Tribolium castaneum: one gene and its partners. The protein of the gene in region 3 interacts with the protein of the main gene of each other region in a pairwise test. Links are inferred from orthologs where the notes say so. Each region holds a gene or a part of one and is shown on either strand. Other genes may lie near its edges.

Region 1 (3,219 bases), on a different chromosome or scaffold from region 3:
GCCCAAATTCTACTGCATTCGCAGTGACCATGATTTTTATTAACAATGTTTTTCGGGACTGTACTAAACAAACTCAGTAGACTAAAAATTTTTAGAGATAAATTAATATGTTCGTTTAATTTTTTATAATTTAGGAAGTAGATTCAACTAAAGTTTGAAGTTATGTTCCACCTTTGTTCATTTCTTTTACTCTCAAAACAAAAGGTATTTTTCCTTTATTAGGAAGTGCTCTTACATTTACAATTTGGCGCCTTTACGTACTTTTATCTTTTGCTGCATTATTTTCTTAATTTTGTAAGTTTTATGCTTCGCTTTACGTTTAACGTCTCTATGTTCTCTCAATCTCTTATTTTTGTTCTCATGTTGTTTCACTTACCTTTTCTACACTTTTTTTCTCAGAAAAATTTGTTGCCGTGATCCGGGTTCGAACACCCGACCTCCCCCGCCGTAAGTGGCGCTTATACCACTGGGCCACCGAGGGCCCCAGGTACTGACCGACTTTTGCAGATATTTTAACACAAACTTTTTAAATAAATCAACATTATAAACTATACAGGCTGCTCCACAAGTAGTGGTGAGCCTCAAAAATGTAATATTAATTTAATAAAGCCATTGTAAATTTTCTATGTGTTTATTTACTTTATACTGTAAAACTACATGTAGCATGTAACTTTACGTCATCGTTCTTGGTTACAAAAAAGCATTACCAATATTGCAATTTCACAGTGAAACTTTTTCCAGTGTTTAAAAGCTCGCCAACGCACTAAAACAGAAAATTAAGCTTAATTGATGCAAAAACACAAGTTCCAGAAAGGTGCTTAGTCCATGACACACCACAGTCTGAGATTTATGAGTATAGCGAAACTCATGAACTTTTCCAACTTTTAACAGATAATAAAATTTTAATCACCCCTTTCTTAATAGAATGATAAATTGCAGTAAATGAAAAAATAGAAAAAGGACAAACAGGTCGGTGACTCGGCGACAAACTCAAAGCACAATTAATGAATTTTTAACGTGCTTAATACCAGCTTTAAAGTGACAGCAAATAGAACAAGCAGCTTGCAATTACACAAGTTTCAAACTGACATAATTGAATATTACAACCGGAAAATATAACTTTTAAGCGTGATAGTGCCGCGATATTGTGCATTAGTTAATGGGTGATGGATTATTTCTCTGGGGCTTTACTGTCACACGTCGCAGTGCAAAGCTTTTACTCCGGAAAAATACGAAAATTAATTTTTAATTGACAAAGCGTTGTGTTATCTAAATGGGGCCTTTCGGCCAGGCTTAATAAAGTTTCAAATGAAAACACTCGCTTTTTTATTATTTACACTACAATAAAGTTTATTGTCCCCATTTTTCTCTTAGATGAAGGTCAATTTGGAAGAAATTTCGACATTCATGTACGTCTTTATTGTCCATAAACCGTTTTTGTGGTCGACTTTTAAATTGCATATTCGAAACGGGGAGTTTACGTCCCTTCGCTTTGGCATTAACGGTTATGGCGCAAACACTTGAAAAAGGGGAAAGAACGTTTTTTAAGTAATTAAATTTAGCGCGCCTGTGTCGGTAAAGTCGCGCACTGTCGCGAAAATCAATGCCAGTTCTGCGCTGACAGTTCTCGTTCTAACCTAAAAAACTAGAAATTTTCGTAATGTTTCCTGCCTTGGCTTCAAAATCGTGATTAAATGGATAAACCGGCGAGTCTTTACGTAATCGAGGGCGATTATGGCCTGGTTTCGCTCGACGTCGGTTGCATCGAGTCGATTTTCTACGCCCGGCTCAAGAAACTCCCCGTTGAAATAAAGCTGCAAAACGGCGTAAAATCATGTGCTTTGTACAGTGCGCCCAGTCTGCGGTGCGGCAACGTCACGGTGACCCAGTTCCCGAAAATCCACCAGCACTGGAAGAGCCTCCACGGCGACCTGGACCACAGCCTCTCTGCCAAAGATTCCAGCGAAACGCTCGCGCTAATAAATCTAGTCACGATGAAACTAAACCCGGTTCTGGAATTCCTCTACTGGGTGGACCAGAGAAATAACGAGGAGTTCATCAGTCGGTGGTTCATGAGCGCGCTTCCTTTCCCCTTCAATTACTCGTACACCAAGCGCAAAAAAAGCGAGGCCTTGCAGCTGATCGAGACCTTGTACCCCCTGGACAGCGACATGGAGGTGGTCAAGGAGTTCGTCACCAAAACGGCCACCACGTGTTTGTCAACCCTGTCCACGCGGTTGGGCAAAGCCAAGTTTTTCTACGGGGATTGTCCCATGACGGTGGACGTTGTGGTGTACGCACATTTAGCCCCCCTTGTCAAATTGCCCTTCCCTACCAATGATATTCCAGCCTTGCTGTCCATGTGGCCGAATCTGACCGAGTTTGTTAAAAGAATAGACGCGAAATATTTTCCCGATGTTAAAAGGGAAGTCAAATATTTGCAAACTGAGAGCAATAATCGGCAAAGTGATGATGATGTTTCCTATCTTTCCGTTTTTATCCTAGTTGTGAGTGCGACGTCGCTTGTCGTGGGGTTTGCGGTGAAAAAGGGGTTCATCAAATTGTCAAATTTTTTTTAGTTGTTCTTAAGACTGAACTGGCTGCCAGTACTGTTAGTAATTATTGTTTTTGTAAATGTTTTGTAATAAAGTGATTAGAAGAAAGGTGTGTTTTATTTTACCTCAAACAAAAATCAGCCCAATAAACTTTTTAGTTTGCGAAAAAAATAATTAAGTAGTACATTATCGGGTCTAATAATTTTTGTATAACATTTTTTTCGAAATTACTTTTATAATTCGAAATTGCCATTTTTTTACCAATTACGGTCTAAAATACAAACTGACCTTTTATCAAAACCAGTAGTTTTTTTTGACAAATAACAAAGTTAAATCAACAATTGGGAACAATCGTAATTTCACAAAAGTCGCAGACATTAAAAGGACAAGAAAAGAAACAAACAAGTTTTTTGCTCAGTTTTAATCGCCTTATGAGATTGGTCGGTTTTACAGTTGGGAGTGCAATCCCCTCCCCGATATCCAATGACAAACGCTTCAATCGTCTTGCAATTTTTTGTGCACCAGATAAACAAGTAGGAGGTGATTTTTATATTTTTATTGGTCAATTGCTCATGCCTGGGGCAAATGAGAACCGGTGTAGGGCCGGTCTTTCTCACAGAATGGGATCTAGCCTTATGTGCGAATAAAATGGTCGATTTGGTTA
Region 2 (3,573 bases), on a different chromosome or scaffold from region 3:
TTATGATTTCAATTTTTATTTCGAATTCATTTCCTTTTGTAGGGTCATCGGTCGACTAATTCTAACATTTCAACAAAAGTTGAAATGTACTGGAGAAAAAATATAAAAGTTATTTGATAGTGCTAACTGTGTATTTTTTCCACACTTCAATCAGCTTTTGACAACTTTTTTTAGCACCTCCCAGCTGTTTGAAAACTATAAAAACGCCAACGTCGCCGAATTATTTCTTTAAATAAGATTGATTAATTAACTAAATTACCCTGGTTTTTAGTGTAATTATTATAGAAGTTTGTTGGATATTACGATACGCAAATAGCGTATTATTGCGAGAGTAATAAGAAAAACTAAAATTTCAAAATTATGTTGTGCTTCATAAAATCGATATAGATATTAAGATATTTATAGATATTTAAGAAAAAAACGCAGAATTCACTGGAACAAACCGTTTTGCTCTTCGATTGGAAGTCTCTAAGTTATATTTTTTAGCCTTTGTAAACGAAATCAAAGTCAAGTCGTATTTACAATTTTTTATTTAAATTAATACACAATGTACAATATTTTACAAAATTGCGGGAATGCTAAATAAACTCCAATCCCTCGTATTTTAAATCAGCTATGTGGAGATCGTCAAGGAGGACTTCCCCTCGAATCGTAAAGCTGGTAATGTAGGTCGCTGTTTTACCATCAACTTCCTCGCTTCGTAACGCCACAATGACTTGATCTTCGGACGATGGCAGGAACTTGAAACTCGAAAAACCTCTCGTTGGTTTCGAATTCAAAATCTAGACACACAATTAAATAAAAAAAAATTACGAAAGCACTGAACATTACTTGTGTTTTTTTAACATCGTAGAGATCCTCATCGGCACTTATCAACACCGAACAACCTCTATGTTCGTCCAATGATTCGTTGTATTGCTCTTTGCTGCACCTTCGAGGCAAAAAGAACCAACGTCTGTGGACGTCAGACCAAACCCCGCTCTCATGGATCATATAACCGGGCCAATAAATGCCCAGAACTTCCCGAATTCGCTTATATTCGTTCACCCAGCTTAGGTGGCTGACCTAAAAACTATCAACATTAAAAAAGAATAAATTCGCAACATCACGTTGAGCAAAAAAAGGGACTTACTTGGCCTTTGGGTGTTATGGCCTTCACATACATGGGATTGTTTGTTTCAAAGGCCCCGCTAGGGGTCGTCCATTCCTTCCCCATGGACCCTACGTATAAAATTTCGTCTTTTACGGTCGCCCATTCCGACTTAAAGCCCTTTGTGGTTCTGCAAAAAAATAATTAATTAATACAGGGTGGTTATAATTTTGATACAGCGACCGCTACAGGGTGATTTTTTTTATCTCACCTCCCGTCCCCGTCCATAAGAAGCAGCCACGGAACTGCTTTATCATTAATAATTTCGTACACAAGTCCAGTTCTGTCTTCAAAAGTGAGCAATCTGCCGTCAAAAACCACCAACTCGGACAACTCCATCCCTCTCCCTTTCAACGAATAACTCGTAGTTAACTTGACCGGACTTGTGCGGTCCCACGTAACCACAACCGTCCGTCTCGTAGGACTATAGCTCAGATAGCCCTTCATAAAATACGAAAACCACACATTCTTCTCCGTTTCACTCTTCGAATTCGTGTCCAGATCGGCAATAACACCTATCCGGAACGTATGCATTGAACTGGTTTTAATTGGACTAGTTAGAGGGTACGTGTAGTTGTAAGTACTACTCCTGAGAACGCTACCAGATGTGGCCCCCTTACGGGGAAACATGTACAGGAGGATTAACACAAAAAGGCCGATAAAGGCCACGATTGAAATGAACTGGGTTTGGCCACGTATGGTCCGATTGACTATGCGGTAAGCGGGCTGCGACCTTAAGGCCTTTCTCCAGTCCTTGGAACTGGCCATTTCGTCCTCGGATAACAGGTGCAAGCGGTTTGGTTCCATCAATTAACTATCACGTTGGACTGGGCCAGCTTACACGTATCATTATCACAAAAAATAATCCTAAATTTCAAACTCTACTTAACCTAAGTTTTGACTGTCAACATGACAGCTGAGTTCGAAATTTGGGGAATTTTGTTCCAGAGGCTGGCACCAAAAGTCGAAAATTACATATTCCAGGCTGATTTTTCTAAATTTGTGGCTGAAATGTGGACGAAATGATTGAAATTTGTTACTTGGACAACTTTATTATAGTTTTAATCCGTGGTTTTGCGTTAAAATTACAATAAAAATGTTTTCCGTTGGTGAGATGACGCCACAGTCGCCACGCCACGACCAACCTGACAAAAACAAAATTATTTCAAGGCCATCAAACAAAAAATGGCTGTGTTAGCGGCAGCTCAGCTCTTGGACGAGTTAATGGGGCGCAACCGCAACGTCGCCCCCAATGAAAAAGTCAAAGAATTGAACTGGGAGGACCCTGAAGTGAGTGTCACAAATTTGACCATTTTCCGTCAAACTAACTTTTGCCCCCAGTATTGCAAGTATTTCATGGTTAAATTCTGCCCCCACGACTTATTCGTGAACACGCGAGCTGATTTGGGCGCGTGTTCGAAAGTCCACGATGAAGAAATCCGAAAAATGTTCCAACAAGCGAAACCCCACCGAAAAATCCACTACCAGGAGGAGTTTATCCGTTTTTGCTCCTCCATGATCAATGAAGTCGAACGTAAAATACAAAAAGGCAAAATGAGACTAGCCCTGAGCGGGAAAACCGAACTCCCGTCCATATCACCCGCACAATCGCAAAAAAACCAAGAACAAATTAAAATCCTAAACGAGCGAATCAACGGTCTTGAGGCTGAAGCAGAGCAGGCTGGAACCGACGGTAACGTGGAGCAAGCCCAAGGTTTGATGAAACTTTGCGACCAGTTGAAGGAAGAACGCGACTCATTACGCAAACAAATCGAAAATGGGTAATTCCCCTAATTTTTGCAAAATTCGCGCGTTATTTCGTTGTTTAGGCATTGGAACGCCACGGCTGAGTTGGCCGCGGCCCAGGAAAAACAAATGGAAGTGTGTCAAGTCTGTGGGGCTTTTCTCATAGTCGGCGACGCCCAGCAAAGGATAGACGACCACTTGATGGGCAAACAACACGTGGGTTTTGCACGTTTAAAATCCGCCTTGGAGGAAATCACAGCTGTGGTTCAAACCGCCAAGGAGGAGAGACGCTCCGGTCGTAGTCTAGCAGGCCGTGAAAGTGAGAGAGAGCGCGAGCGTGACAGAGAGAAACGACGGGAACGATCGGAACATAGGTTCGGAACCCGAAGCGAAGCTGAGGCCTTTAATTCTGATTTCCCACAGGTCGGAAAAAGACAAGGAAAAGGATAGGAGAGACAAGGATAAGGAGCGGAAGGAGAGGAGGGAGAGAGAGGCACATAGGACGAAAGAACGGGAGAAGGAGAGGGAACGAGACCGGAAACATCGCTCCGATCGTGATTCCGGTGCGATGTTTAAATGCTGTTTTTTGGAGGTGTTGTGTTTTGTTTTTAGGGAGGAGGAGTCATCACCAGTACCGCCGCTGATTGGTTTTCTCTTAGACCAGTAAGATCAAGCAA
Region 3 (4,282 bases):
GAATAAATAAATGCAAAATTGTGTTTAGTTCCGAATCATACATGAGATTATTGTTTTTTAAGTCAGTTAATATGATCAAAGTTAAAAAAACACTTAGAAACAACTGAAATCACTTGACAAAATATGTGGTTTTAAAACTAGACCTGTACGTTCAGAAATATAAAAAACAAATTAATCATAAGCCGTTTATTATTCCCAAATTTCGTAATTAAAACAAGGCAAAAAAAATAGTTGAAAAAGATTAATAAAACATGTAGTTATTAGTATGTTAATTGCTTCTCAACATGAAAAAAATACCCCAAGCCTTGTTAGAAATTAAAAGACACACTGGTTAAGTTTTGTCAAAAAGACTTGCCGTAAAATAACATTTTAGAACATTGTTGGAAAAATTTTCATCAACAATACCATCAGAAGATTCAAAATAATCCTTACTGTTGATTTTTGGTCTGAGCCTAAAATTATAGTCATAATGGCACTAGCTCCAAATTTCTAAAGGAACCTGCCGTCTTGTATTGTTTCCTTTATCGGCTTATCAATTTTGTTTTCAAACTCTGAATACCCACATTGTTTCAGGGATTCAACAAAGTCATAAAAAATTGTCTCAGATTCCGACTTCAATAAACCGAATAAAATCATTCTGTTATTATGTCGGTAATCATCATCCTACAATGTTTCTAGAAATCAACTAGTTACTAAATTAATACGAACCTACAGTGTTTATACTGGCAATTAAATTGTTGACTAATGGGTCTTTTGTGGAGAGACTTTTCATTACATTTACTAAATCGTGGTCCCTCACTAATTCAACAAAATGTTGATAAATGAAGTTTTCCTGTTCGGGCAACATTTTCAACATTTGTTTAGTTAAACTCAAGACGTTGTGAAAATAAACTGGGAAAGAAAACACTAGAGATAATGGTCAACAAAAAAGGGCATAAAGTTGAGCAAGTTATACTAACGCATGCATTGGAAAAGTAAGTCAAAATATTTACTAAAACTAAGAAGATGCATTTAAACCACTTTATTTAGCTTAATTGGTTCACAATAGCTAAATGGTAAAACAAATTCAAAATTTTAACAACGTATAGTTGGTTGCTTAGGCTGGGCGCGGTGGATAAAAAATTAAAAACAAAAATTCGTCGCCCATATATCCCATTATCCCCATTTCAATTTGGCAATAACGGCAATGCTTTTTTGGAGTGAAATGGTGCACAAATTGAGAGTTTCTGTATAAGAAAATAATTTTGTGTTAAACTGAATCCCAACCACAAATTTTGAGCCAATTCCAAGAGAAAATTAATTTCGAAAATTGTCATTTGTTGCTAAATATTTGTTTTTTCGAAAATATTTTTTTCTGATTTCAAGTTTTCTACGTGTCTTTGGTCGGTATATCAGAGTCCCATCTTGCCGTCAATTACAAGACGAGAAGTTCTTAACCTCAACAAAATTTCTAAAAATTAATTCCAACAATTTCCCCCAATTTAATGTAGAAATCGGCGCCTGCCTTTGCCTTGAATTTCTCTTTATTTTTGCAGCGTTCCGTTGAAAACCTGCTTTTCGTATTTCCTTGCCTTTTTGTAAGTACCTTCCGCATAACCAGAAAATCTCATAAAAGTGGCTTCGCAGTGCTCCCTATTTTGCAACACGTCGCCTATAACCATTTTCACTCCATTCCTTTTCCAAAATGGAAAATTCAAATCTACGCAAAAAGACTCTAATCTTCAACGTCCTGGACTTCTTATCAGGTGAGGTCGGCGCTTCCGACCTCTCCGAGGAACGAAAGGAATCAATTGAGGTGGCAATTCAGTGTCTAGAAACCGCTTACGAAATTTCAAGCGACGATCGCCAAAATTTAAAAAAAGTTGATCTCCTCGCTCAAATCCGACTGAACGATGCGGTGAGACCATTAAAATATTCCGGCTTGTTGTTTACATGTTTGCTTAGGGGGTCCAACAAGAGCAGGCCCTCGAGGCGGAGCGCCAGAAAAATTTGGGCAACACAGCGATGAAAAACGGCGAATATGAGGAGGCTGTGCGTTACTACTCAATGTGAGTTACGGCAAATTTTGGCAAATTTCTGAAGTTGTTTGCAGGGCTATCGAGGCAAACCCCACCAACCCGGTGTACTTTTGCAACAGGGCCGCGGCCTACAGCCGCTTAGAGAACAATGAAGAGGCTATCAAAGACTGCAAACAGGCCCTGGTTCTCGACCCGACTTACGGCAAAGCCTACGGTAGACTGGGCATTGCCTATTCGAACTTAAACCAATGGGCCGATGCTGTGCGTGCTTACGAGTCCTCCCTCAAATATGACCCCCACAACGCCAGTTACCAAACCAACCTTACTCTAGCCCGCGAACGCCTGTTCGAGTCGATGGGTAAGAGTTAAAAATTACGATATAAAATTGAAATCTAAGTTCCAGAAAATGCAGCACCTCCACAACACCGCCCACTTGACATCACGCAGTTCATTAACAACGAGCAATTTTTGACCATGGCGCGGGAAATGATGGCCAATCCCGACTTCCAAAATATGTAAGTGCCCCAAATACGAAAAACTTTGAAATAATTATTCATTCGCAGAATGTCTGGCATTATGGCAATGAGCCAATCGGGGGATACCAACTTTGAGGCTCTTTTTCAAGCGTAAGTATTGTTTTTTTCACTTATTGGCAATAAGCAATAATAAATTACTAGAAATAATAATAATAATAATTCTTTATTGGTGGTATATGTTTTACGCAAGTCACAAAAAATACATAAATACATACTCATAAGATATTAAAACTACATTTAAAAAACTCATCTCAGTTCTACAAACAATTAGCTTTTAAACAAATTTTTAATTTTTCCCTAAAATCGACCGGGAAAACATTGAAAAAATTTATTGCATCGTACCGGGTACAACTCTTTACTCTAAAGATCCTGTTATGCAAAGGTATAATATTTTTGTTCCTCCTTGTATCATGGTCTTGAAATTCTTTGTGCCTGATATATTTATTAATATTTTTCTTAGTATAGAGAAGAGAGTTTAAAACATATAAAGATGGCAAAATAAAGACTGCTCTACAATCAGCTTTGTAATTTAAAGCCGCTATCATGTGCACTGCTCTCCTGTTAAGGAATGGTTTAGCAAAAATTTGAAGGTAGACAGAGAATGGCAAAACGAATCGACTAAGTAAATTTTTTGAATATCGAAAATGCATAGTACTCTCAAAAAATCGTTTTAAAAAACTTTGACTTGAACTTCCCAAAGGTCCCAAAAACCGCTGAACTAGAATGGTAAAAATTAGCGTGTACTTTAAAATTATTGACAAAACGGCAGAGGTAAATTAATTTCTTGGTCCACTTCATAATTCTTTTATTTCAATTTGTGTTTTGTTATAAAATACAAAAATGTTTGCTTAAGGAAAAAATTAATTGTTAATAAACTAGCATAAACCACACAATGGCTTAATATATGGATTAATAATTTTTTTTAAATTAATATATGGATTAATAAAAAAAAATTCACATACAAAATATTGCTAAGCCATTCCCTAAACCCCGTATAATAATAATTAAAAAAAATAATTCACTGACCTTTATGGCATCTTCGGCTACAAGTTGTAGAAGTCCCACCGCATCATCTTCTTAAGCGGACTTACTGGAATGAAAAACAATAAAATTAGAACAATATGCCTTAACTTAGTTGAAAATATTACAAATACTACAATTTTAATTTTTCGAAAAAGGAAATATTGCAGACTAACCCTTTAATCCGGATTGTTTCCTCCTTTTCTCCCTGGGAATCCATTCTATCAACACTAACACTAACACCACTAACCGCGATCAACGAATTTGAAATTTTTAAACTGCAAATTTTTCGATTTTATTTATGAAGCGTCCGATCGCGACGACAACGAGTAACAAACTGCACATAATTGTGTAAGAATATGGATAAAACGTCACCAAGAAAAAATGTAATCTGAGATAACTACTAATTCTTGTAAGGTGAATTGATTGTTACGACTTCGTTAACGTTTTTTTCATATACCTAAATGAAAAATATACAGGGTATTTAATCGTTGAAACGTATTGCTTAAAACTTATAAAAATAATCAAATCATTTTGAATACAAATTCACACAATTGTGCCTTGAGCGTTGGAAAGCGGGAAATTCTTTCCCGTTTTGTAATTTTGTAAGTTGGGAGATTGGGGAGATTTGTGTTTGGTGCAAATAAAATATGCCCCGTTACAGAAAATCAGTGTCGTTTTTTATAAATAACATGCTTAAATACGGAC

What was found.
Region 1: the proteins of small glutamine-rich tetratricopeptide repeat-containing protein alpha (region 3) and metaxin-1 interact in a two-hybrid assay, tested with the Caenorhabditis elegans proteins (2 studies listed by BioGRID). The link is inferred for Tribolium castaneum from reciprocal best matches to the Caenorhabditis elegans genes sgt-1 and mtx-1.
Region 2: the proteins of small glutamine-rich tetratricopeptide repeat-containing protein alpha (region 3) and soluble calcium-activated nucleotidase 1 interact in a two-hybrid assay, tested with the Caenorhabditis elegans proteins (2 studies listed by BioGRID). The link is inferred for Tribolium castaneum from reciprocal best matches to the Caenorhabditis elegans genes sgt-1 and apy-1.

What each region holds. Positions count from the first base shown.
Region 1 is NC_087397.1:2,268,579-2,271,797, reverse strand, and holds metaxin-1, read left to right. Parts: upstream 1-1,575; 5' UTR 1,576-1,694; coding exon 1,695-2,579; 3' UTR 2,580-2,663; downstream 2,664-3,219.
Region 2 is NC_087399.1:566,650-570,222, reverse strand, and holds soluble calcium-activated nucleotidase 1, read right to left. Parts: upstream 2,094-3,573; 5' UTR 1,958-2,093; coding exon 1,362-1,957; intron 1,281-1,361; coding exon 1,133-1,280; intron 1,066-1,132; coding exon 832-1,065; intron 783-831; coding exon 579-782; 3' UTR 516-578; downstream 1-515. Other genes in the region: luc7-like protein 3, read left to right, coding at 2,336-2,440, 2,492-2,931, 2,980-3,270, 3,320-3,459, 3,509-3,540. UniProt on the Caenorhabditis elegans protein: Hydrolyzes UDP and to a lesser extent GDP. By preventing the accumulation of NDP, may promote the reglucosylation of incompletely folded glycoproteins in the endoplasmic reticulum following the unfolded protein response.
Region 3 is NC_087403.1:5,039,069-5,043,350, reverse strand, and holds the start of small glutamine-rich tetratricopeptide repeat-containing protein alpha, read left to right. Parts: upstream 1-1,369; 5' UTR 1,370-1,577; intron 1,578-1,626; 5' UTR 1,627-1,684; coding exon 1,685-1,897; intron 1,898-1,944; coding exon 1,945-2,048; intron 2,049-2,092; coding exon 2,093-2,376; intron 2,377-2,415; coding exon 2,416-2,533; intron 2,534-2,581; coding exon 2,582-2,644; intron 2,645-4,282.